3 linked regions of the Drosophila melanogaster genome follow. Changing the gene in region 3 together with the main gene of any one other region gives a genetic interaction. Each region holds a gene or a part of one and is shown on either strand. Other genes may lie near its edges.

Region 1 (10,080 bases), on a different chromosome or scaffold from region 3:
CCGGAAAAGGAGAGCTGGTACCACGAGGTTCTCGACAACAATGTGAAGCTCTGGGAGCTTAACATGCCGCAGAGTCATCCCACCCGATAGCTGCATTTTAAATATATATATACTGTGCGATATGTGGCAGCCAAGGATCAATAGTTCCTAGATGCTTAGTTGTAGTTAGGAACCTCTAGTGCGTAGTTAATGTTCTGCCTGTGATAGTTTTAGGTAGTTTAATTGGAACACAGTACACATCCGACTTGCATTTCAGCTAACTAGACCGTAAGATCGCCTTATTGATGTAATAGTTTTGTAAACTTTAATACAAAGTAAAGATAAAAGTAAAAATCTTACTGTTTTCATAACTTGATATTGGCTATTAAAATCTAACTGTTTTCATTACGTAATATTGGCTATGAATATCAAATACTATTTTGAAAGTTTATTTTGAATAATTGATTTTGATTAAGAACCGGTAATCGAAACGGGTAAACGGCTCTACCCGTTTCATCAAGGCTTTCAACCAGACTTATTCTAGTTTTCCACCCTTACGTATTTAGTATATGAATCAAGTATATTTTTAATACCGTGTGGTATATTTCAAACGGTTCAGTTACGCTCATACTGAAATCCGAAATAGCACGTGCGGTTTTTGTATTTTGATTTTGATTTTGGGTGATATATACTGGCATGGATATTTTTTCCAATTGTCCGGGCTTTTGCCCCTCCTGCGGCTCCATTCTGCCCGAGCTTCAAGTCAAGGGCAATGTGATTTGCTACAACTGCAAGAAGGAGTTTCAGCCAGATGGTAAATCCAGAAATTACAACTTTGTTTAATTTATTTAACACTTAAAAATAGTTTACAGCGGCGAGAAGTCCGAGTTTACCATACACTTCAACACCTACGATCCCAGCAAGGTGTTCAACAGGACGAAAAGGGAGTCGGAATCGGACGCGGATGGCCCCGTTGTGGAGAGGAAGTGTCCCAAGTGCAACCACGACAAGATGTCCTATGCCACCCTGCAGCTTCGATCGGCGGACGAAGGCCAGACGGTGTTCTTTACCTGCCTTAAGTGCAAGTAGGTGTCCTGATAAACATATTCCTTCACTTCCACAACTAATCACACACATTCTACCTTGCAGATTCAAAGAATCCGAAAACTCTTAGTTGCTAGCAATGTCCGTGTAAATAGTCCTAGATTAATGAAAATAATCATGCTCGACGGCCTGAGAAATATAGAATTTACCAATTATAATACCTAACCGGTGTCAAACTTGAAGCAGAACCCACCTCGCTGGCCTTGAGTCGGTTTTTGGGATTGTAGACCACCAGATTCGAGACCAGATTGATTTCCACCGCATGTGTGCAGCTGGGAAACAAGTTGTCCCAGTGAATGCCCACGGAGTTGGGAAACCTACGTCAAGAATATTACGGATTAAGTAATCATAGACGGTAAGAATGCCTACCGTATCTTGCTGTAATCCGGCAGAGAAGTCAGCTCTGGCCACTGATTCAGACGTGGGCTGCCCAGAGTGCGAATGATGATGGCTAATTGCTCGATGTCGGTGGTTCCCGCAAACAGGGGCACTCCGCGTAGCATCTCCGCCACAACACAACCTGGATAGCAATAATGTCAGCCATAAGGATATATGTAAACCCATCAAAGAGTCATGGCTAACCTGCCGCCCACATATCCACTCCGGTTCCATACTTCTGGCTGCCAAATAGAATCTCTGGCGCTCGATACCACCGGGTTGAGACCTGAGGCGAATAAAGGCGCGACTCGTCTTCAGGGAAGTACAGACGGGCCAGTCCGAAATCGGCAATCTTAAGCATATCTGTATCGCTGATAAGCAGATTGGCGGGTTTAATATCCCGGTGCATGAGACCCGCTTCATGCAGATATGCAATCCCCTTGAACATTTGGTGTGCAAACTTACGCACCTGCTGGCGGCTCAGGGGATTAACCTCGCTCTTGAGGCGGTTGTACAGAGTGTCCGGCTGGTATTCCAGCACCAAGGAGAGACCAGTTAGGTCAGGATATATATCAATGATGTCCAGAATCTACAATTAGTTACATAATTAACAAATGGAAAATAGATATATGGTATACCTACATATTCAGACTTGCAAAGCTGCAGGGTCTTGATTTCCCTCAAAGTATTTAGGGCTATGTTTCCGAACTTGTTCTTAAGGGCCACCTTCTTGATGGCCACCTCCTTGTTGCGCTGCAGATCGATGGCCTTAAACACGCAGCCATGGACGCCTTCGCCGATTTTCTCAAGCATTTTATAGCGGCTGGGCGCATAGTCCTCCATTATGGTTACTCACAATTTTCAATTTGGTAATTTTCCGAGCAGTTATCTACTTCGTTTTTCGACCCCAGTAGTCCATGGCAACGGGCACAACAATTGCCGGAGTACCAGCTGATGGGACCACCTGTTGCAGGATGTTTACAAGCGCAGTGGGTTTATGGTAATTACGGGGGTTGGAAAGCCTAGGCCAAGGCGGAGCAGTGACAGCTTTCGGTTTAAGGACATGCGCACTTCCTGCCTCGAATTCCTCCTGTCAGACAAATGTCAAGTCAGGGGGATACATAATTTTTCGGACCCTCGCACTGCAAAAGTTCTTCGTTGGCTGAGATTTGATGTAAAATAAGTGTTTCAAATGGCATCGGTAGTGAAATAAAAGCCAGTTCTGGGACTAAGCAAGCTGGTAGGTTCCTAAAAACATGTACACATAAGATTTAAGAGGATGCAACACCTGGAAGATACTCCTTCGCGTTAACGAGCATACTAAATAATGCACGAATCCTTTAGATCATTAAATTGCTTTATAATTACTAAACGTGCCAGCATTGCTGCAGCAATTTGAAGCAATTTTGCTGGCCTGGACTGGCCTTAGCCTTGCTCCACCTGTCCTGTAAAATTGCATGCGAGTGCCAGCAAACACAGGTAGAACGTAGAAAATAATACACACCCACTGGGCGCAGCCTTGCCTCGGCAGCCTTGGCTCACCCGAAACCAACCACTGCCATTCACCACCCACAACTTGGCTCCAAGTTCACGTCCTCGATATGCGCTATTCACATTTAGAATCGTTTTACAGCCCACGCGGTCAACATGTTCCGGCCAAGTTGGTTTCCATTCGCCAGCCTGCTGTTCCTGCTCCTTTGGAGCACCGCCTGTGGCAGGACAGCCAAGAGATCGGACGTCTACATAGCGGGATTCTTCCCGTACGGGGATGGCGTGGAAAACTCCTACACCGGTCGGGGCGTTATGCCCAGTGTAAAGCTCGCCTTGGGTCACGTTAATGAGCATGGAAAGATACTGGCCAACTACAGGCTGCACATGTGGTGGAACGACACTCAGGTGAGTTAGGGTTTAGCTTGAAGATTTCATTAAGTGAATCTCTGATGATGGACTTGTGGTTTTTAAAGTTCAATTAGGTATTTTTTTTAATGTTCATTGGTTCATATTGTAATATCACACCTTTACCTATGCATATTTCCATATATTCTGGAATGTAATTTTGGTTTCCTTTCCAGTGCAATGCTGCTGTGGGCGTAAAGTCCTTCTTCGATATGATGCATTCGGGTCCCAATAAAGTGATGCTCTTCGGCGCTGCGTGCACCCATGTGACCGATCCCATAGCCAAGGCCAGCAAGCACTGGCACCTCACCCAGCTCAGCTACGCGGACACCCATCCCATGTTCACCAAGGATGCGTTTCCGAATTTCTTTCGCGTGGTACCCTCGGAGAATGCCTTTAATGCGCCGCGACTGGCCTTGCTGAAGGAGTTCAATTGGACCAGAGTGGGCACTGTCTACCAGAATGAGCCACGCTATTCGCTGCCCCACAATCACATGGTGGCTGACCTGGATGCCATGGAGGTCGAGGTGGTGGAAACGCAGAGCTTCGTCAACGATGTGGCTGAATCATTGAAGAAACTGCGCGAGAAGGACGTGAGGATCATTCTGGGCAACTTTAACGAGCACTTTGCACGCAAGGCATTCTGTGAGGCTTATAAGTGAGTTGGATATACTAACTTAAGTCTCAATTTAAAATTATTGCAATAAACTCCCTTCCAGATTGGATATGTATGGCAGAGCCTATCAATGGCTGATCATGGCTACCTATTCCACGGATTGGTGGAATGTCACGCAGGACAGCGAGTGCAGTGTGGAGGAGATCGCTACAGCCTTGGAAGGTGCCATTCTAGTGGATCTTTTGCCCTTGTCCACCAGTGGTGACATCACAGTGGCTGGCATTGTTAGTACCAGTAAAGTCTATTAAAATTCTTGTAATAAATTTCATATTTTACTAGACTGCTGATGAGTATCTTGTGGAGTACGACAGACTGCGAGGCACTGAATATTCCCGCTTTCATGGCTATACCTACGATGGTATCTGGGCAGCTGCCCTGGCCATTCAGTATGTGGCCGAAAAGCGAGAGGATCTGCTAACACATTTTGATTATCGCGTGAAGGACTGGGAGAGTGTCTTCCTTGAGGCTCTACGTAATACATCCTTCGAGGGTGTGACGGTAGATAGATAAACAATCCAGTTTTTGCAGTTAAAACATATTTTACATTCTCAAGGGACCCGTGCGTTTCTACAACAACGAGCGCAAGGCCAACATCCTGATCAATCAGTTTCAGCTGGGACAAATGGAAAAGATCGGGGAATACCACTCACAGAAGTCACACTTGGATTTAAGCTTGGGAAAACCAGTCAAATGGGTGGGGAAAACTCCTCCCAAGGATCGCACTTTGATCTACATCGAGCACAGTCAGGTCAATCCAACCATATATATTGTATCGGCTAGTGCTTCGGTCATTGGAGTGATTATTGCCACAGTTTTTCTGGCCTTTAACATTAAGTATCGCAATCAAAGGTGAGCTTAACAATGCTATATTAAACAATTTCGTTTAATAAAATATTGATGTTTTTATAGATACATCAAGATGTCCAGTCCCCATTTGAACAATCTGATCATTGTGGGCTGTATGATGACCTATTTGAGCATCATTTTCCTGGGTCTCGATACCACATTAAGTAGTGTGGCAGCTTTTCCCTATATCTGCACAGCTCGAGCCTGGATCTTGATGGCTGGATTCAGTCTCAGTTTTGGAGCCATGTTCTCGAAGACGTGGCGGGTGCATTCGATATTCACCGATCTGAAGCTCAATAAGAAGGTGATCAAGGACTATCAATTGTTTATGGTTGTGGGCGTGCTTTTGGCCATTGATATAGCCATTATAACCACCTGGCAGATTGCCGATCCCTTTTACCGCGAAACTAAACAGTTGGAACCCTTGGTGAGTGCATTGATAGAACATATTTGAAGTGAAAAATCTAAAATGATTATTATTAACTACAGCATCACGAGAATATTGATGATGTCTTGGTGATCCCCGAAAACGAGTACTGCCAGTCTGAGCACATGACCATATTCGTTAGCATTATTTATGCCTACAAGGGACTGTTGTTGGTGAGTATATAATAAACATTAATTTGTAAGATATCATTATAATAAAGCAATAATTTTTTTCAATAGGTTTTTGGCGCCTTTTTGGCCTGGGAAACTCGACATGTTTCTATACCGGCTCTGAACGATTCCAAGCATATTGGTTTCTCCGTTTATAACGTGTTCATCACTTGTCTGGCCGGAGCGGCTATATCCCTGGTGCTATCGGATCGAAAGGATTTAGTTTTTGTCTTACTCTCGTTTTTTATCATTTTTTGTACGACAGCCACTTTGTGTTTGGTGTTCGTACCGAAAGTAAGACTGGTAGTAAGGAAGTTTTGTAGTTTTTGTAGCTGTTATATGTTACATATAATAATCGTGTAATATGAATGTTGTTTGTCGGCGGTAATAGGCCGATCAGTTGTGGTTAGAGCTTCTTAACTGATCGTACTTTACCGCCAGCTGAGCTGATCTTTCGTCTAGCGTTGATACACCTTGATACAGAAACAACATGTACTCGAAAACAGATCTTAAAATGCTATATAACACTACAGACTAACTATAAACTTGAACTATATAGAACCCACTAAGAGCAGCAGCAAGGTTGTAGGCAAATCCCACTTCCTTGCTGTTGGAATATCTTTAACTATCCTATATTACTGTCCGTAGAGTTGATCCTTCCTAGATGTTGACCGCGTAGTATAATCTTTGGTTAATATTCATGCGAATCGTTTTGCAGTTGGTGGAGCTGAAGCGGAATCCCCAGGGCGTGGTGGACAAACGCGTTAGGGCCACGTTGAGACCCATGTCCAAAAACGGACGCCGGGATTCCTCGGTGTGCGAACTGGAGCAACGATTGCGAGATGTAAAGAACACAAACTGCCGATTCCGAAAGGCGCTGATGGAGAAGGAGAACGAGCTGCAGGCCTTAATCCGCAAGCTGGGACCCGAGGCACGCAAATGGATCGATGGGGTGACCTGCACAGGTGGCTCCAACGTCGGTAGCGAACTGGAGCCCATACTGAACGATGACATTGTTAGGCTCTCAGCTCCACCGGTGCGTCGAGAGATGCCCAGCACCACAGGTGAGTGGCTAAGGAGGGGGATTTCGTAGATATGTTCATGCATTGCAACCCGTTTGTCATAGAAGTTACCGAGATGACGTCCGTGGATAGTGTGACCTCGACTCATGTGGAGATGGATAACTCCTTTGTGTCGGTGCAGTCTACAGTGATGGCGCCATCGCTTCCTCCGTAAGTTCTTAAATTTTGGTCTTAAATACACTCTAATCTATGGATATTCTCCAACAGCAAAAAGAAAAAGCAATCGATTGTAGAGCACCACTCGCATGCCCCTGCTCCAACTATGATGCAGCCCATCCAGCAGCAACTGCAGCAGCACTTACAGCAACATCAGCAGATGCAGCAGCAGCACCTGCAGCAGCAGCAACACCAGCAGATGCAACAGCAACAGCAGCAGCAGCAGCATCATCATCGCCATCTGGAGAAGAGAAACTCGGTGTCCGCTCAGACCGATGATAATATAGGCAGCATCACCAGTACGGCGGGCAAGCGGAGCGGAGGAGACTGCTCCAGCATGCGGGAGAGGCGTCAATCGACCGCCTCCAGGCACTACGACAGTGGCAGCCAGACGCCCACCGCCCGGCCAAAGTACAGCAGCTCGCACCGGAACTCCTCCACCAACATCTCCACATCGCAATCGGAGTTGAGCAACATGTGTCCACACTCAAAGCCCAGTACTCCGGCTGTGATTAAGAGTAAGTTTTCTGCGCGTCTCTTATAATACTATAATACTATCGATTTTCTAATCGAAAATAGCTCCCACTGCCTCCGACCATCGCCGCACCAGCATGGGCTCCGCTCTGAAGTCCAATTTCGTGGTTTCACAGAGTGACCTCTGGGACACGCACACGCTGTCGCACGCCAAGCAGCGCCAGTCGCCGCGGAACTACGCCAGTCCGCAGCGCTGTGCGGAACATCATGGCGGCCACGGGATGACCTATGACCCGAACACCACCTCGCCCATCCAGCGGTCCGTCTCCGAGAAGAACCGCAACAAACATCGGCCAAAACCGCAAAAGGGCACCGTTTGCCAGAGCGAGACGGACAGCGAACGGGAACGAGATCCGCCGCCCAACAGTCAGCCGTGCGTCCAGCCGCGTAAGGTCAGCCGGAGCTCTAACATCCAGCACGCCGCCCACCACCACAGTTCGCCCAATGTGGCGCCCGATAAGCAGCGGAGCAGGCAGCGCGGCAAGCAGGATAGCAGCATCTACGGCGCCAGCAGCGAGACGGAACTGCTCGAGGGCGAGACGGCAATTTTGCCCATCTTCCGGAAACTCCTCACCGAGAAGAGTCCCAACTATCGGGGCCGCAGTGCCGTGGGCCAGAGCTGTCCGAATATATCCATCAAATGCGATATCGTCGAGTACTTGTAGGCGGCGCGAGTCATATGCATTATGCCGTAGTTAAACTCCTATTGTTAGATCCAGTTGCAGTGTAAAGATTATCTTTGTTTTCTTTGGAGTTACGCATCTACATACATACCCTGTGAAGCAGGACACACACCATTTAGTGAACTAGTAGCAATGACATGAGATAGTTGGGAAATAAATTACAATTTAAAATAATCATATATCTGCTGATGTTTCCCTTTCACTGGCATGAGCTTTCAGAGGCACATTTTTCACTGTGTACAAGCAGAAACGGCAACTCTAATTTATTTTAATGAGCAAATGGGCATGGGTATGAGTGCTAAACTGATGGGGGAATCTATTGCAGAGCAATGCGCCGGAAGTGATTGTTGAGTGGACCCTCGTCCGAATAGCCGGCAATTTCCTGTGGTATGATGCCAGACTCCTCAATGGAAGTGCATGGCCGACACATGCACTCCAATGGCGCCTTGGTCAGGACCTTCTTGAATTTACGCTCGCCGGGCTTCACTTTGGGACAGAATAGCGAGACGGCTGCCTCCCGCTCACCAGACTCCTGGCAGCACATGCAGGAACGCTCCATTTGCCAGATCTTACTGCCCGAAACCTAAAGTCATCAGATTATATCAAATTATAATTTATATTTCAAGTATATCAACACCCACCTGGATATAACTGGCACAGCGACCCACGCAGGCGAACGAGGGAATCGGCTTGGGCACACATCCAGGATACTGGAGCACATGGATGACGGGCGTCACCTGACAATCGTCGCCAAGATGCGTAATATCTGGATGGTAAATGGAATCCATTAGAGCGAATAATATGATATTATCAAATGCCTTATCAAATACCATTATCCGTGGCGGCCACAGAGCTATCCGGCTGTGCCGTGCAGAGTTTCAGAATGCTGACCAGGACGCAGTAGAGCAGGATCAGGACGAAGACCTTGTTGTTCTCGTGGCGGAGCAGGTGGCGCAGCATCTCGTCGGCCCGACTGCGAGTGTCCTTTCACGTGGAATGGAAAACGCCACTTGCAGCCGCCGGGCTTTTATAGACCAACTTGGCCAGCGGATGCCGCTCTAATGGCCGCTCGACAGCGTAAATTATGGCCTAATAAAGCAAGGGCCGTCCAAACCTTTTTGCCTAGTAATTGCGTACACGAAAAGGGCATTTCTCCCGCGGCGCACGACCACGGCAATCTCTTTATTTCCCTCACAACTTATTGGCTAATCAGGGCCAGGCCAACATGCTGCCCACTGCTAAAAGCAGAACCACCACCAAGGAAGTGGCTCCCAGGCAGGAGCTACCATTTCTGTCCGCCAGATATTTTACTAAGCCTTCCAAATGGGTTTCCGCCCAGTTAAGGTTTTTTTCCACAGTGACCAGGGACTTGGAGAGCAGCTCTTCCGATTCACCGAAGAACTGGTGATTGCTGTAGTAGAATTCCTTGAGCAACTGCTGTTGCTCCCGGGTGGTGAAGTACTCCGCCATGTCATTGATCACCTCGGCCGTGTCCCGACCAACTCTGGAAGCTGAAAAGCGACAAGGTTAAGTGTTCAATAAACAATCAAACCACACTCTCAGATGATCAAATTATGAAAAATAACTCACTTATACGCTAATTCCATAATGTTTTCGGTAATCATTTCGAAAATTGCCTGAACCAAGTCAGGATTCTCCTCGTACATACGGGCGATACCAATTTTCTTTTGTTCAACACTTTCCGTACCAGAGATGATCATCTTGTGGTAATGGGTTTCGTAGTCTCTCGTGCAGCTGATTGCAGCCCAGAGCATATTCTTTTCGCTAGTGCGATTTTCCAAATAATACTGACCCCACAACATGGTGTATGAGTTGTAATCGGCACCACTGGCGGCACAATAGAACGTTTCCCGGTAATCCGGCGATGGTACTTCATGACCTGTTACGAACTGAACGTTAACCTTTGGCCTGCAATTGCTGGCCTGGTATCTGCACAGCCATTTGATCAGTTTGTTGCGATTGGCCACATCCAGCGGAGTGTAGTATATACGAACATAATAACAATAATAATAACAATAATAATAATAATATTAATAATAATTATAATATGAATCATAATAATAAGTCGACTAATAAGTAAACTTAGGACCACCCTAATTCCTTAGGGTCACCCTAGTAGATCTTTAGA
Region 2 (6,749 bases), on a different chromosome or scaffold from region 3:
CCTCCGTCGCGGCTTCTTGGGCAGCTCGCTTCTCTTGCTCGGAGACGAAGTTGAAGTCGCAGCTCAGCTCTTTTGCCACGTCCGGAGTGGGGTTCAGCGGCCGCTCAACTGCGTATCCACAGCTCCACAGCCGCAGCAGGTGCATCAGGAAGAGGAAGAGCATTAACAGGCTGCCCTGCAGCACACCCATAAAAATCGGATCCTGGCCGAGAGTACCCAGGATGTGCCGGCTTAGAAGATGCAGCCTGCCGGCTAGTGATAGCAGCATGTGTAGGCGGTTCATGTAGCCAAGATAGAGATCCAACCAGTGGTCCAGCAGGGTCACTCGCCAATCGATGCTGAACGTGGCATTGGCCTGCATGGGGCAGGTGGCCTCTTCCAAGTCGGATGCGGTCGAGCCAAAGTCATCCATTTCTGATTCGATTCACTGCTCGATTCGACAATTGGATTTCCGATTAGACCTTCGCGAATTCATGGCAACTGGGCGCAGTAACAGGGGATGGCTGTGGGCGTGCGTGTAGGGGGTGGCGACCTTGACTTTCGTAGACCCCCACTTGCATCACGGACACCGCCGAACGAGTTTGGTCGAACACAAACACCACGCTGCACACACTCTCCTTACATAACAGTGGCCCGAGCGGGGTAAATAAATAAAATATATCGCACGGCGGAAAATCTGAAATATGAAAAGTATCTGTATCTGTATCTGCGCGAGTATCTTTCCTCGCTCGTCCGATTCGTTCAGTTGCGTCCGCGAGAATGTCGGAATGGCTTTTCGCTTTTGTTTTTGCCGCCTCTTCCTGAGCGGCCAAGGCGCAGCCGTTTCCAACTCGCGAGTATTTCTGTTCTGCTTTTTTGTTTCTTTTTTTTTTTTTGTCACAACTAAGTTTAGTCTTCGCCCGCTCACAGTCCGGCAGGGGGTGAGGTGTGTGGATCACCTAGAACCCATGCCCGCCGATAGTTTTCCTTAGAGTGATACACTGCGAGAACACTTCCTTACAAAGCAGTTAGGTCGCAGTCTTTGGCCAACAGATACCTTCTACTTTACAGGATCGTAATTTAGTGGCTTCGTAAATAACTAAATAAAAACTGAAAGACAGGTGTATTCGTATATAAATATTTTTTTACTGAGTATGAAATGGTTGCTTTGTGGGCAATTCTGATGAGAAATACTTATTCAAAAAAGTTGGATATTTTGTAAATGAATAATTTTATGCGCCGTGTATTTTGCTGGCGTCATTATCCAATGTACTTCATCAAGTCGATGTCGTGGCGCTGCTCGTTGTTCGCTGCCTTTGCCGGTCATGGACTGCACTACACCAGGAAAGAGTCCACCAAATGAGCACACACTCATGCGGGGCCATGCCCGTCAACATCATCGTCATCATCGAGTGCTTCGAGATTTCTTAGGCATCTTGCCAAATTTTCCCTCGCCCGTGCAGAGGGGTGTTCGACAGGCAGGATTTCGAATACCTCGAATTCCAAAAGGTTTCGAAACCACTTCGAAAGGTAGTTTCGAGCGATTAGGTGCGATTGAAAAATTCCTCGCAATGCAACTGCAGTTCCGTCCGCCGCCTGCACAATATGCAAATGTGTGAGTTCGTATTGGGACTAACCGGCCTTATTGATTTTGCAGCCCCGTTCCCAACTTGAGTCAGCCGTTGATCCTTATGGAGCCATGGCGATTTCTTTAGAAGGAAAAGCTTGCTGACATCTTGAGTCACCCTATTTCTGACACACGAACGCGCTCTACTCGGCGTACATAACAACACCACCACCAAACCCCCCCCCCCCCCGCACAACACAATAAAATTATTATTTATAGACGCCGAAAGAAGCGAATGAAAACAATAAGTCGGCTAGAAAATCAGTGCGAATACAGAGCAGCCAGAGGCAGTAAAACGTCATCGTTTTGCTCGATTGCAGTGAGTTTGTGTTATTGCGGGGATGCGCTGGGGGTTGGAGGTTGGTGATTGGGTTGGGGGTGCTCATTGGTTAGCCACTGGCGTCACGTGGTGCCTACTTGCGGTTAGGGCAATTTAAAAACGTAAACAAACCGAGCGGACTGAATGGAAGAACTCATGCGGGGGGATCGATGTAGGATTATGGGACGCAGGAGGTAAAGTTTGCTTGGTACCACTGTCGAAAAAACTGGACCACATAAGTAAGTATGTAGTGTGTGGAATCACATCCCATTCGGGATAAGCACACTGTGTGGCGAAGGGTATCGAACTAATGGGTTGCGTCAACAATGAGGCCCACTGTGCCCGCACAGTGGGAACGCGAATAGTGAGGCCATCCCCGAACGGCTCACATATTGGAGCAGCTCGTTACGGTTCGATAAATTTATTTCCTGCCTGTGAGAGACACGTGGAATACACGCGGCGTATACTTTATGTTCATATTTTATCCGCATGAGAGTGATGGGAAAGAAAACTGGAAAAAAGCTTACTTTACTAAGTCGAAGCTGGTATGCCCTTTAATATTATTTCATTAATTGTCAATTTATATTTTTATTTACATTACAGGCTTATACTGTGTCACTCAGAAATGGAACCTAATACCATTTTGTCAATACAAATTAAATGCATTTGGTCGAGTTACTTCGTTACTCAGTTGAGAGATTGAGTTGAGATATCTTAACAGAAAAGCGTTAAAGAGACGTCGCTTTCCAATGAGCAGTATTAGTTAACGTTTCTAGTAGTCCGTCATGAACACGTCTTGAAATAAACGTGTGGTCGAACTTTATACAAAATTACGGACGGACGGACACGCCCAGCTCTATTTGTTAAAAGATCCTGATCTTCTGATCATGTCTCAGTGTCAGTTCATGTCAAGAACATTTTTTTTGAAGATGAAGTGTTCAAGTGATCATGAAGTGATCGAAGGAAGTTTATCTTATAATATTGGCAAATATGGTATTTGTAGCCGAAAATAGAAATATATACTAAATTCTTATATTAATTTTATAGCACAATAAAAATGTTTTACCAAATAGGGACAACGATATCGATGAAGTACTTACAGACTGACGAATGGGCCGCGCAGTGCCGGCATATCCCGCCGTCGGTTGAGCGGCGGCGACAGCGACAGCGAGAGGAAGTCCTGCTGGGCCTTGTCCTCGTCGACGATGCTGGTCGGGGTGCTGTAGATGCGCGTAGTTGGCAGATAGCCAATCTGCTGCAGAAAGTCGTCGCGGTAGGAGAGCTTGGTGGTGGACTGAGAGGAGGTCAGCGGCAGGGACAGCGGGGATCCATAGAGCGGAGCCAGTGGCAGGGCCGCTGTCATCGAGGCCAGCGACAGAGGCTGCTGGTAGAGTCCTCCTGCACCGCTGCCAGATCCCGGTCCCGATCCCACACCGGAACCTGATCCCGCAGCTGTGCCGTTCCCATGGTGGTGTAGGTGGAGGTGGTGCGGCGTGGTGGCCGCAGGCTGAGTACCGTGAAAATGCGGATAGGGAATGCCGTGGGTGTAGGCTGGAGCGCGCGACAAGTACGGCGTATTGATGATCTTGTCGTCGAAGCTGCGACGGAAACTAAAGCCCTTCAGTGAGTTGCTGTAGTTTCGGTGAGAAAGCGGCGAGCTGCCCAGGTCAATGCTGGCCGCCGGGCCCAGGATCCCGGCAGTTAGACCGCATCCTGAGGAGGCGGTAACGCCGCTGGCCGTCGCCGTGGCGCTACCCAGCATACTCAGCGCAGGTGAGGTGCGCAGCTGAGGGCTGCCGCCCACTCCTCCGCCTGCACCGGAGGCCGTGGTGGTCGAGGTGGAGAGTGGCGGCGAGATGGCACTCAAAGTGGAGATGCCGCTGTCACTACTACATATGCCGGCCGGCAGTGACGTGTGGGTGGGCGAGATGAGGTGTGGGTGGTGGTGTTTGCCATTTGCGGCACCGATGAGGCCGGCCATGCCGCTACTGGGCAGTACGGGAGCCAGGATGCCTCCCGGGATGAGTTTCCTGATCTGCGCGGGGCTGGTCCTCGCCCTGTCCTAATGAATGCTGGGAAGCTAGAAGCAGCTTCCTCGCGTCTTTGTCCTCATCGTTGGCCTGCGCCCTTTGTTCCTGGTGAGGACTTCGTATATCATTCCTTGTGCGTAGGAAAATCAATGAAGGGACGCGCTTAAAACATGCATTTTAAGCAGCGCTTTTCTCGCTTTGTAACCCAAATTGCGCATGAAAAAAGTAAGGCGAAAATCCACACACGCACGCACACACTGCCACGAACTGGTTCGCGATAGAAGAGGGTTTTTCCACGGTCTGCCCTCAATTGGGCCTATTGGATTCCCTTTCGCCTTTCTTCGATGCTTTTGGCCAGGTACGTGCCCGTAGTCTAGTTAATAGCGGAATTGATTTATCCTCGACAAATAAAGCGAACACATCACATTTTCCACTTTGTGTTTTTGGCAGAAGCAGCAGCACGGAAAAGTCTTCTTTGTCCGCACTTGGCTCGAACTCTCCGACGGTCTGCCCTCCGGGTTCTGAAGCGGAAAACTCTGCGGCGAAGTTCAGCGATTCCGGGGAGCGGGCAAAGCGCATGTGCCGGCTGTGGCCCGTTACTGTCCCAAAACAAAACAAAGCCCGAGCGGAGAGAGTGAAAGCTAACTGCAAGCAGCTGGCGTCGTCGAAAGTTCCATCCCCGAAAATCAGTTTGTTTACCATCCTGGCAGAGCTTTTCATGGGCAAAGCCGACTAGGCAATACCCTTTGTAAAACAAAGCGGTGAGTTTGTATAATAAATTTATTTCGGCTTCTTCGTGTTAGACCAGAATACAATTGAAATTTGGAAACAATTGTTAAGTTTAAATTTAGTTTACTTAGTATTTTTGCTTTGACTTGTACGAACAATAAATACACACGCAAGACCGTAAAATGTAATTATTAATAATTGAATTTTATATATGTATGCGTGTTTATACTATAGATGAGCCGGCGACTCTCGGATCCCGGCCCTAGACCCAGGCGCCCAAGGACTTTTATCCTGGCCCGGAGCTGATCGGCAATAATTGATGTCAATGATTTAGAATGGGATACTACAATATAAAAGTTAATTACTGCTGGACTAATCGCATTCATTTACATTTAAAAGCGGGTTAACAATCAAACAAAAATTAATTAGATTCAATTCAATTTTGAAACAATTTGGAATACATAAATATGTGCAATACTTTCGGGGGTTACAATTCAACTTTTGATTACTCGTATTTAATTGTTTTATATATAGAGGGGATTATTAATATCTGTTATATAATTTATATTTGCGTTAATTGGATCGCCCTTCAAAGTGTCCTCTTCTTCGTCCTCCTCTGTTTAACTGTGTGATGCTTAATTGTTTAACTCGTATTTACATTTGCATTAGAATCGGATCGGAGCAATCTGCTGGGCGCGTCGCTCGACAATTCATCCTTTTTACATAAGTAGTTCTGGCTTTAACAATTTAGTGCAAAATAACAGAAACAATCGGTGAAGAGGAGATCTCGAGAACAAATTAGCTAGACTAAGCGACGACACAAATGCCACAAACTAGATACACATATCATATACATATATATAATTACAGTGCCTCTCTTCGCGACTGAATCCCAACTCACGGGCTAAGCCGCAAGGGATCCGATCCCCAAGCAAATGTCTAGACAAACTTCCGATATACAATTTCATCAACACCGAATGGTGTTTTGGTGATTAGCATGACTGGATAGGTGGAGATGGTGGCTTCGCGGCTTGGCTATCGATTCGAGTTGTATAGTGGTACAGCTGCAAGGCTAGATGCATGGCTTGAACAATGGAATTGGTGAATCGATTGCCCGAAGTGGACCAAAATCAACCTGACTGACCGGAGGGCGGCCACGAAGTTCGATAGTTTAAAATTAGAGCTAAGTGCTACGGCTTAAAATAAATACATTGGTTTCTATGTTTACTCGCTTCAACATATCGCGCATTTTAAAAACAACACTAATAATTATGAAATAAATCTGGTTTTCTCTTCTGTTACGATTTAGGGGCTTGTGTTTTCTGTGTCTGTATCTGAATGTGTGGTGTACGCAAGCACCCGGGTCTTGACTCGCTCGCAGCACTTGACTAATATTTTTGATTAACCATATCTAGAGTGAAGAGAGGGGGAGAGAGAAGTAGACAGTGATAAGTGAAAAGAAATCAAAATGTACGCGTTGCATAAGAAACGATAAAACTAAAATCCGTCAAACTTAAGCTACATTCTTTGAATATGTCTTGGATGGAAATTAAAATTTTCATTTCATTTAATTTGCGAAAGCTTGGAAAACAATCTTGAAAGGAGGTCTTTAAAATGGGGGACTTGAGTACGGCTGGCGCAGACCTAAGGAACGAAAGGCTGAGTCAATCAATCTATTCATTGGTCATCCTGCAGCTCGGGCAGTGTGTGGTAATGTAATTCAGCATGCAGATCTAAGTAAATGGATCCCATATTCGCGTGGACATGTACAGAAAGTGACTAAAAAATACCTTGCCGGATACACGAGCTTACTGCTAAGGGGGTGTTGATCTGATCGCTGGACGGGGTATGTCGACTGGTGACTGAATGCCTTCGCCACCTATCCAGCGACCGAAGGAAACAATATTTGTTCGATATATGCACAATAACAAGTTCGATGGTCAAAGACGCTTTGTCGGATTGCCAAACTAGCGGAGGCTGGCTGTGTGGTTGACTTCTGGACCAATTGCTTATATACCTGGCGTGTAAGTGGTCTGCTCCGTTGTGTTTAGCGACGTATTCTCGT
Region 3 (7,233 bases):
ACGTGGCTTGTCCAGATCGTAGGATGCGATGACGGTGCGCAGGTTTCCCTGGAAATTGGAAACCTCCACACGTCTCGTGCCCGAATCCGTCCAAAATAGCAGGTCGTGTATCCAATCGACTGCAATGCCACCCGGCGACTCCAGACCCCATTTGATGACGTCTCGAACTCGCGTTCCATTCATATACACCATCTTGATGACATCGGTGGACACGTCGGACCAAAACATCAGGCCCTTGCGATGGTGGAAGTCCAATGCGATCGCATTGTGAAGTCCCTTAACAATCGCCGAGTATCGGTTATTACTCAACGTCACCCGTCGTATGTCCCATCGGTTGGCCACCAGCAGGGTCATCGCACCACCCAGCGCTTTACAGGATCTGAGATCTGGACGAAGTATGTAGCCCGTTTCGCAGGAGCACTTAAAGGAACCCATAGTGTTGTGACATTTTTGCGAGCAAACCGGACTGGTCAGGTACTGGCATTCATCTATATCCGTGCAGCTAAACAATCGTGGCATCACTTTAATATCATACGAAATACCCGGTAAACAAATCGTCTACTTACTTGACTTTGTTTTTGTCCATGACATATCCAAGTCGACAGGCACACTCGTTCGATCCTGCAGTGGTTTCAATGCAGAGTTGCTCGCAAGGACTCGGTTCCGAGCACTTTCGTTCCTTGGGACAGTCGGCCTCGTCCTCGCCGGCGGGGCATTCGTTGTGGCCATCGCAAATGTGCTTCTGATGGACACATATCCTGAAAAATACAATCGGGAATTGGTAATTGGATTGCTTGTGATATGAGGACATCATGAGCAATTCAACTTACTTAAGATTTGTTAGGTTTTGTTTGGTTGGGCATAAAAATTGTCCCAGGTCGCATTGTAGGTGGCACTCAACCTCATCCTCTCCAGCAGCGCAGTCTGGATAGCCATCGCAGAGCCAAGTTTTCTGATTTGACAACAGAAAACTCAATGAGGTAAAGAAGTTAAGGAGACTCCAGTGGTCATACCAAAATGCAGCGCCCATTGTTGCAGGTAAACTCATCGGATCCGCAGGTCAGGGGATGCTCCGAGCCGAGACTACCGCAGTCGTTCTCGTCTTCTCCGCCGTCGCAATCCTGCTCCTTGTCACACTTCCAACGTTTGGGAATACAGGTGCCATCGGCACACTTGTATTCATTCGAGGTACATAGTGATGGCTTCTGGGGGCAATTCTCCTCGTCACTCCAGTCGCCGCAGTCGTTGTCGCCATCGCAGCGGAAACGATTGAGAATGCACTGGCCACTGGGACCACCTGCTCCACCCAAACCGCCGCGGCACTTGAACTCGCCCTCCGGACAGCTGTTTATGACCGCCGCGCACTTGAGCTCATCCGAGTTGTCATTGCAATCGTGCTCACCATCGCAACGAAAGGCCAGGGAGATGCAATAGCCATCGTTGCAGGTGAAGTGCTCATCCGTGCAGGTGGTGCGATTGCAGTGGGTCTCGTCGGAGAAGTCCTTGCAATCGTTCTCGCCATCGCATACCCAGGTTCGTGGAATACAGAATCCGTTGAGACACTCGAACTGATCATCTGTACAATTCGTCCTGGCTCCGCAGTGCGTCTCATCCGAGTAGTCACCGCAGTCATCATCTCCATCGCAGAGCCAATACTTGCTAATGCATCGAAAGGTTCGCGGGCACATCACATGTATCCCGGTCTTCTCGCAATCCCTTTGCAAATTCGGCACTGCATCCTCCTCGGGATTGCAGTTCTCGTCGGATTCATTGGAGTTCTGGCAATTGGAGTATGTCTCACCCGGTTGACTGGGATCGTCCTGCACCAGAACGGCCAGATTGACTCTAAATGGCTTCTGTTTGTTACTCGGACCACCTATAAAACCATCTCGACCACGTGAACTGATTCGATCAGTTTCGCGAATGCCGGCTATTTCGGTTCTACCCCTCTGGGCGCCAATGTTCCGGAACTTGGGAGTATCGTTTGAATTTGTGCCACCGGATATTCTAGTCTTGGATGGCACAGACGATTCCATCGTATGCAATCTTCCCTCTCCACTATGATGCACCTCCTGGCTATCCTCGTTATTCTGCTGATACGGCGGATAGTTGGAGACGGGAAAGAGTTTCTCGCCGAACTTGCTCAGCTCCTCCGACAGCTGATCCTCCCGCGACTCGTTGCCCGCCTCTAAATGTCCGATTCTGGCATCCGAGTGCAGCTGCTTGTGCTTATTCCAATCCCAACGACCCAGTGCGTTTGTCGGGTGAATTCCATAGTGGGGCGCGTTACGTTTCACAGCAGTTTTTGTCAAGTCGCCGAGACCGAGACCTAGTCAAAGGATTTAAATCGATACCATTTAACTTCTAATTAGCTCAAAATGCAGCAAAGGCTTTTGCCTTATCATACAAGTTCAGTCGTGTTAAGTTGAATTGAATGTTAACTACAAGTAGTTAAAGGAAAACCCCCCTATTTCTCATTCAAAGCAGATAGCAAAAGGCACGTTTTGCTATTGTTCCCACGCCACTGCAATGTTCTTGGAAAATACAACACTTTTCATAGGAAAGGAGCATTGAATGCAATGCTTCTGATTTGATACATACAAAGGTCATGTCTTGAGTTAAAAGGTTTTCCAATAGTTCAAAAACAGCTTTACAAAAACATGCATACATATGTACATACATACATATGTACATAGTCATGGACACGTTTTGTATGCAAGCAATATCCTTAAATAAAAAAGTTTCATTCAATTCGATGCATGTTCTTTGATGCCTTGCACATACATATTATAGATTGCATGTTCCTGGAAATTCGTATTACAATTAAGCCCTCTTGAGCAGGGAATTTTCTCAATTGGCTAGTTTTCGTGTGCAAGTTTTCATTGAGCAAAAAGTGCTGTTGGTCTGAGCGCATCGTGGGCGTTAACAGAGAGATACCCTTCATCTCCCCCCAGGACAAACTGTGTTGCGAGGACAATACTTACAGAGCCACACGAAGCATACCAATGGCCAAAAGGGAAAGGCTGTCAAATACATGTCCAGACATGTACACAAACTCGCCCACTCATAGGCACGTAACGTAGTAGCGCTGCGAGCTTTACTGCTTTTGCTTCCGAAGCATTTGCTGCTCTGCTAAGCGGATGCTGCTGCTGCTGCTGCTGCTGCTGTGCTGTTGCTTTCTGCTAACTGCTGTTCCGATTCTGTTAAGAGAAAGAGAGGAAGGTAGAGAGAAGGAGGTTTTCGTATTGAGCGCTTGCGTATAACATATTTTGCTACCAAGGCGGATCTAGAGTTTTATATATATATTTCTTTTTTTGAGGGGGGGCGGGGCGTAACTTTTAAAATAATGAAATTCACTCAATGATTTTTTGTCTCTAGGTTTTGGACAATATAAAGTTAATGCAAAGTTTTGGGCTTGGGGGAGGGGGGTTACTATGCGCAAAACCCGCCCACCTGATGTATATGTTGTGTATATGTTACACTTAAGCACACTCGTTCTTTGCGTAGGTGTCACTCAATAGATTTTACTCTATTCATCTTATTTGTAAGCACTTGGTTACTTCTGGTCTTTGTTATTTACTTATTGTGTCACTGGGTTTTTTATGATTTACATAAATGTTTATTGTAAGTTAATAAATTTAAATGCCTGGCTTGTACGTCCTCAACATTTTTCACATTACGCTGTCTCACTAAACAGAAGGTTTATTGTGACTTTGTAGGTCCAGGACCGACTCCGTGAATGGATCAAATATCATGCGGCACGGCATTCATGGCACTACTTCATTCAATGTATATCCTATTATAAAGTTGCGTGGGCTTGGCACTGCGTTTGGCATTTCCAGAATGTGGTATAAAGGTGTTTATAACGTCCTGCGAAGTCCCCTCGCAAATGAATGCGATATTTGGGACTTTGTTGGCATTTATGTATGTATGTCATGAGCACCACACACGCGAACATATGCATATTAAACACAGTATTATTAAACAAAAAGAACCTCCTGAAACTTTGACACTTTTCGATTCCAATTAGCAAGTGGCGGGCGAGAACAATTGAATCAGCTAATTGTTCCACACACATTTGTGTGGGTAATTTACGTGAATGAAAAATTATTTTCGTACAGCACGTCTCTTGTCTTCTTCGGGAATATAACGAATATAAAATTTCAGGGGATTACAGCATCCCTCTGACGGAAAGCGAAGTCGGCGGACGCGAGTGTTCCACTCAACTCTCGTGTGCTGTTTCAAAGTTTTCTCTGAATCCTTAAGCTTTTTCTGGGAAGCGAGCTTTTGTCTGTGTGCCGAGAGTGAGGGTAAATTAATTTGCAACAACTAAGTTAGCAAAATGCGAACCCAATTAAGGATTGTATCATTGAAAGCATTCTCCACGCTGCAGTTTTTCCTAAAAAACAACAAAAAACTGCAGCACCGAAATTAGGACAATGGACATGGAAGTCCATTTTAATCTCGATGTGTACATATATCGGTACATCATTTCTCGGAAGGGATCCACAGGTTACTTTTGTTTATCATTAACCTGGCATTCCTAAGTCGCGAAAGCTTTTTACCCTTTTATCAATATCTTATTAATTATTAAACAAAGCAGCAAAGATTATATCTTTTTTTTACAATTGCTTTTAGAATTTTTTTAGTGAAATTATTTTAGGTTTCTTACATGTCTTACTGTTTGTCATCTAAAACTGTTTAAGTACAACCCTAAAGAAAATAACAGCAGTTCAATGCTTTTTGTAAGCGGTACAGGATCTTTAAGTGCAGCATTCATTTATTTACGACTCTTTCGAACAACCTGCCATTTAATCAACAGGTTCCGGCCATTTAAACGGAATTTAATAAGGGTGTTTTGATCACGATTCAACCTAGTAGGGTGATGCCAGTGAGTTTTGCATTACTGACCATTTTGTCGTGGACCACGATCGTTAAATGTATGACATGCCGAAAGATCGACTGTCAGTACCATCCTTACATGAATGCAGGGTGGCAACGCCCTAGCATATTTTAGTATTTTTGATTTTGCTGGAGTAATTGGAACACTTGAGTGATGTGAAATTCACATCAAGAGTAAGTTCGTAAGATCGTATAACAAAAAGCTTATTTAAGAAAAAAAGTAGTGCAATTAGAAGAACTTTGTTTTTATTATAAGGGTAAGACCCTTTTATAGTCCATCAAACCCATTGATGGATTATAAGTTTTTAATGTTCTAATAACAACCCTAAGTGAAACATATTTCACAAGCAACAAGTTGGAAACGCAATGAGGAGGTTCCCCTTTTCAACGTATTTCGCTTGCCTTTCATTGCAAAGGATAGTACTATACTAATAACCGATGAAGATCGATATGTTTTACTGATCGCAGTGAGCAAGAGATATAACTCCGATGACGGCATGCTGAACTAGTTTTTTTCTGCCATAAGGTGTAACTATCTGGTTCACATAAATGCTTTGTCCACGCCGGTTAAGTGGCAAACGTGTGCAACTTCGAGTATACTTTTTTAATAGTTAATTTACATTACTCCATGAAGTGCTGTGCCGTTTGTATATAACCAGAATTCCGAGAATAGGCGTAAGTGAAAACTTTTGTTCTCGAGCTGATCGTACATAGCCATGCATGTACATGTACATAAGTACATAGTGTGAAATGAACGAGTTATTTCTGAGCAGGTCGAAAAAATATGTAAATAATGTAATGTGCATATGAATAAGTCAAGGTATTAGGGTTATATGCTATACTCTAGTGCTCCCACAGGACTAAACACATATGCCCGCAGTGTGCCCATACTTGAGCAAATACTTGAATTAAATGTGAAAAGAAGGTTGCAACATACATATGTATGTATGTACTTATGTACGATCATTTCCTATTGTACGCAGTGTTCCCATATCGGAGTTACCCAAAGTTCCTGATAAATCGGCACACATAAATGGCTTGAGAGTGCGGCGATCCATAGAATCCATAGCTTTAAACGGAACGTATGGCCGATATAATGGATCTTTTATGCTCGGAAATCATAGTCTACGAATCAGATCCATCATTGTATCGTTTGAACAAACGACAGCAGCAAATGTCCTCACCGGCGATCATTCGGGATCAATCATCGATATGTTCATCCTTGGGGGACGCGGAATCCGATTCCCATCCGGATGCCCAGAACAATGCCGTAGTGTGCAATATGAAGGAGCTGGTGTATATATACGCGTCCGTGGACTCGGCTGCGAAAAATCCAGAACAATTGGAGCCGCCTCCGCCACCTCCACCACCGCCGCCACCACCACCGACAGCGACCCAATCAATCCAAAGTTATCCGCGTTACATCAGCCAGGAGCCACCGACGTCACATTGCCAACGACTCGACGAACGCCTGACCACAACAGCCGATCCACCCGCAACCGACAACGTGAACACTGCCATCGGGGATCCCACATTGTATTCGGATCGGTGTCTGGAGAATTTCCTCAAGGTCGAGGAGAAGCACCACAAAATTCCCGACACGTACTTTAGCATCCAGAAGGATATTACGCCACCGATGCGCAAAATTGTCGCCGAATGGATGATGGAAGTGAGTAATTAAACGAAATGTAGATACAGCATCCAAATCATATCAAGCTAGCCGACTGTGATATACGCATTATTTATAATCTGTTAGAAAATATTACCAAATAGATGGAAGTTTCCAAGAACTTCATTAATTAGTGTTTGTTTTAGTAGTCCTTATCGCACACCCATTACAATATTTTGACTACCCTTTTCGTTCATTAATTGAATACATGTTCACAGGTGTGTGCCGAGGAAAATTGCCAGGAAGAGGTCGTATTACTGGCATTAAATTACATGGATCGATTTCTTTCGAGCAAATCAGTACGCAAGACCCAGCTACAAATTTTGGCCGCAGCTTGCCTCTTACTGGCTTCAAAGCTCCGTGAACCCAGCTGTCGTGCTCTTTCGGTGGATCTACTCGTTGTTTACACGGACAACAGCATCTACAAGGATGATTTGATTGTAAGTACCTTTCTCGTAATACAATACCTTTCGGTGAACATGCGGTTTCATTTCATTCCCAAGAAATGGGAGCTGTATGTGCTAAGTCGCTTGGGCTGGGACCTCTCATCTGTGACTCCCTTGGACTTCCTTGAGCTTCTGATGATGCGCCTGCCGATAGGCAGCAAAAACTTTCCGGACATAAACATTGGCAAAGTGCGGGGACATGCTCAGGCATTTATA

What was found.
Region 1: of Lrp4 (region 3) and GABA-B-R2, changing one suppresses a phenotype caused by changing the other (phenotypic suppression), as found in Drosophila melanogaster (one study listed by BioGRID).
Region 2: of Lrp4 (region 3) and Srpk79D, changing one suppresses a phenotype caused by changing the other (phenotypic suppression), as found in Drosophila melanogaster (one study listed by BioGRID).

Annotation. Positions count from the first base shown.
Region 1 is NT_033777.3:21,768,362-21,778,441, reverse strand, and holds GABA-B-R2 (metabotropic GABA-B receptor subtype 2), read left to right. Parts: upstream 1-2,601; 5' UTR 2,602-2,701; intron 2,702-3,094; 5' UTR 3,095-3,108; coding exon 3,109-3,357; intron 3,358-3,533; coding exon 3,534-4,015; intron 4,016-4,076; coding exon 4,077-4,257; intron 4,258-4,312; coding exon 4,313-4,531; intron 4,532-4,586; coding exon 4,587-4,882; intron 4,883-4,942; coding exon 4,943-5,306; intron 5,307-5,368; coding exon 5,369-5,479; intron 5,480-5,545; coding exon 5,546-5,782; intron 5,783-6,194; coding exon 6,195-6,540; intron 6,541-6,602; coding exon of another isoform or gene 6,603-6,605; coding exon 6,606-6,708; intron 6,709-6,765; coding exon 6,766-7,232; intron 7,233-7,293; coding exon 7,294-7,913; 3' UTR 7,914-8,109; downstream 8,110-10,080. Other genes in the region: tsl (torso-like), read left to right, coding at 1-90; Polr1H (RNA polymerase I subunit H), read left to right, coding at 676-793, 845-1,064, 1,129-1,153; CG6800 (uncharacterized protein), read right to left, coding at 1,229-1,400, 1,453-1,603, 1,666-2,050, 2,104-2,304; Burs (bursicon), read right to left, coding at 8,248-8,514, 8,573-8,697, 8,762-8,891.
Region 2 is NT_037436.4:22,271,715-22,278,463, reverse strand, and holds the start of Srpk79D (Serine-arginine protein kinase at 79D), read right to left. Parts: upstream 4,480-6,749; 5' UTR 3,907-4,479; coding exon 3,026-3,906; exon of another isoform or gene 2,973-3,025; intron 2,919-2,972; exon of another isoform or gene 2,748-2,918; intron 1,101-2,747; exon of another isoform or gene 413-1,100; coding exon of another isoform or gene 1-412. Other genes in the region: Csp (cysteine string protein), read right to left, coding at 6,073-6,095, 6,702-6,749.
Region 3 is NC_004354.4:15,907,875-15,915,107, reverse strand, and holds the start of Lrp4 (LDL receptor related protein 4), read right to left. Parts: upstream 4,239-7,233; 5' UTR 4,120-4,238; intron 3,742-4,119; exon of another isoform or gene 3,454-3,741; intron 3,201-3,453; 5' UTR 3,037-3,200; coding exon 2,985-3,036; intron 2,330-2,984; coding exon 1,014-2,329; intron 953-1,013; coding exon 831-952; intron 759-830; coding exon 567-758; intron 503-566; coding exon 1-502. Other genes in the region: CycD (cyclin D), read left to right, coding at 5,999-6,571, 6,790-7,011, 7,075-7,233.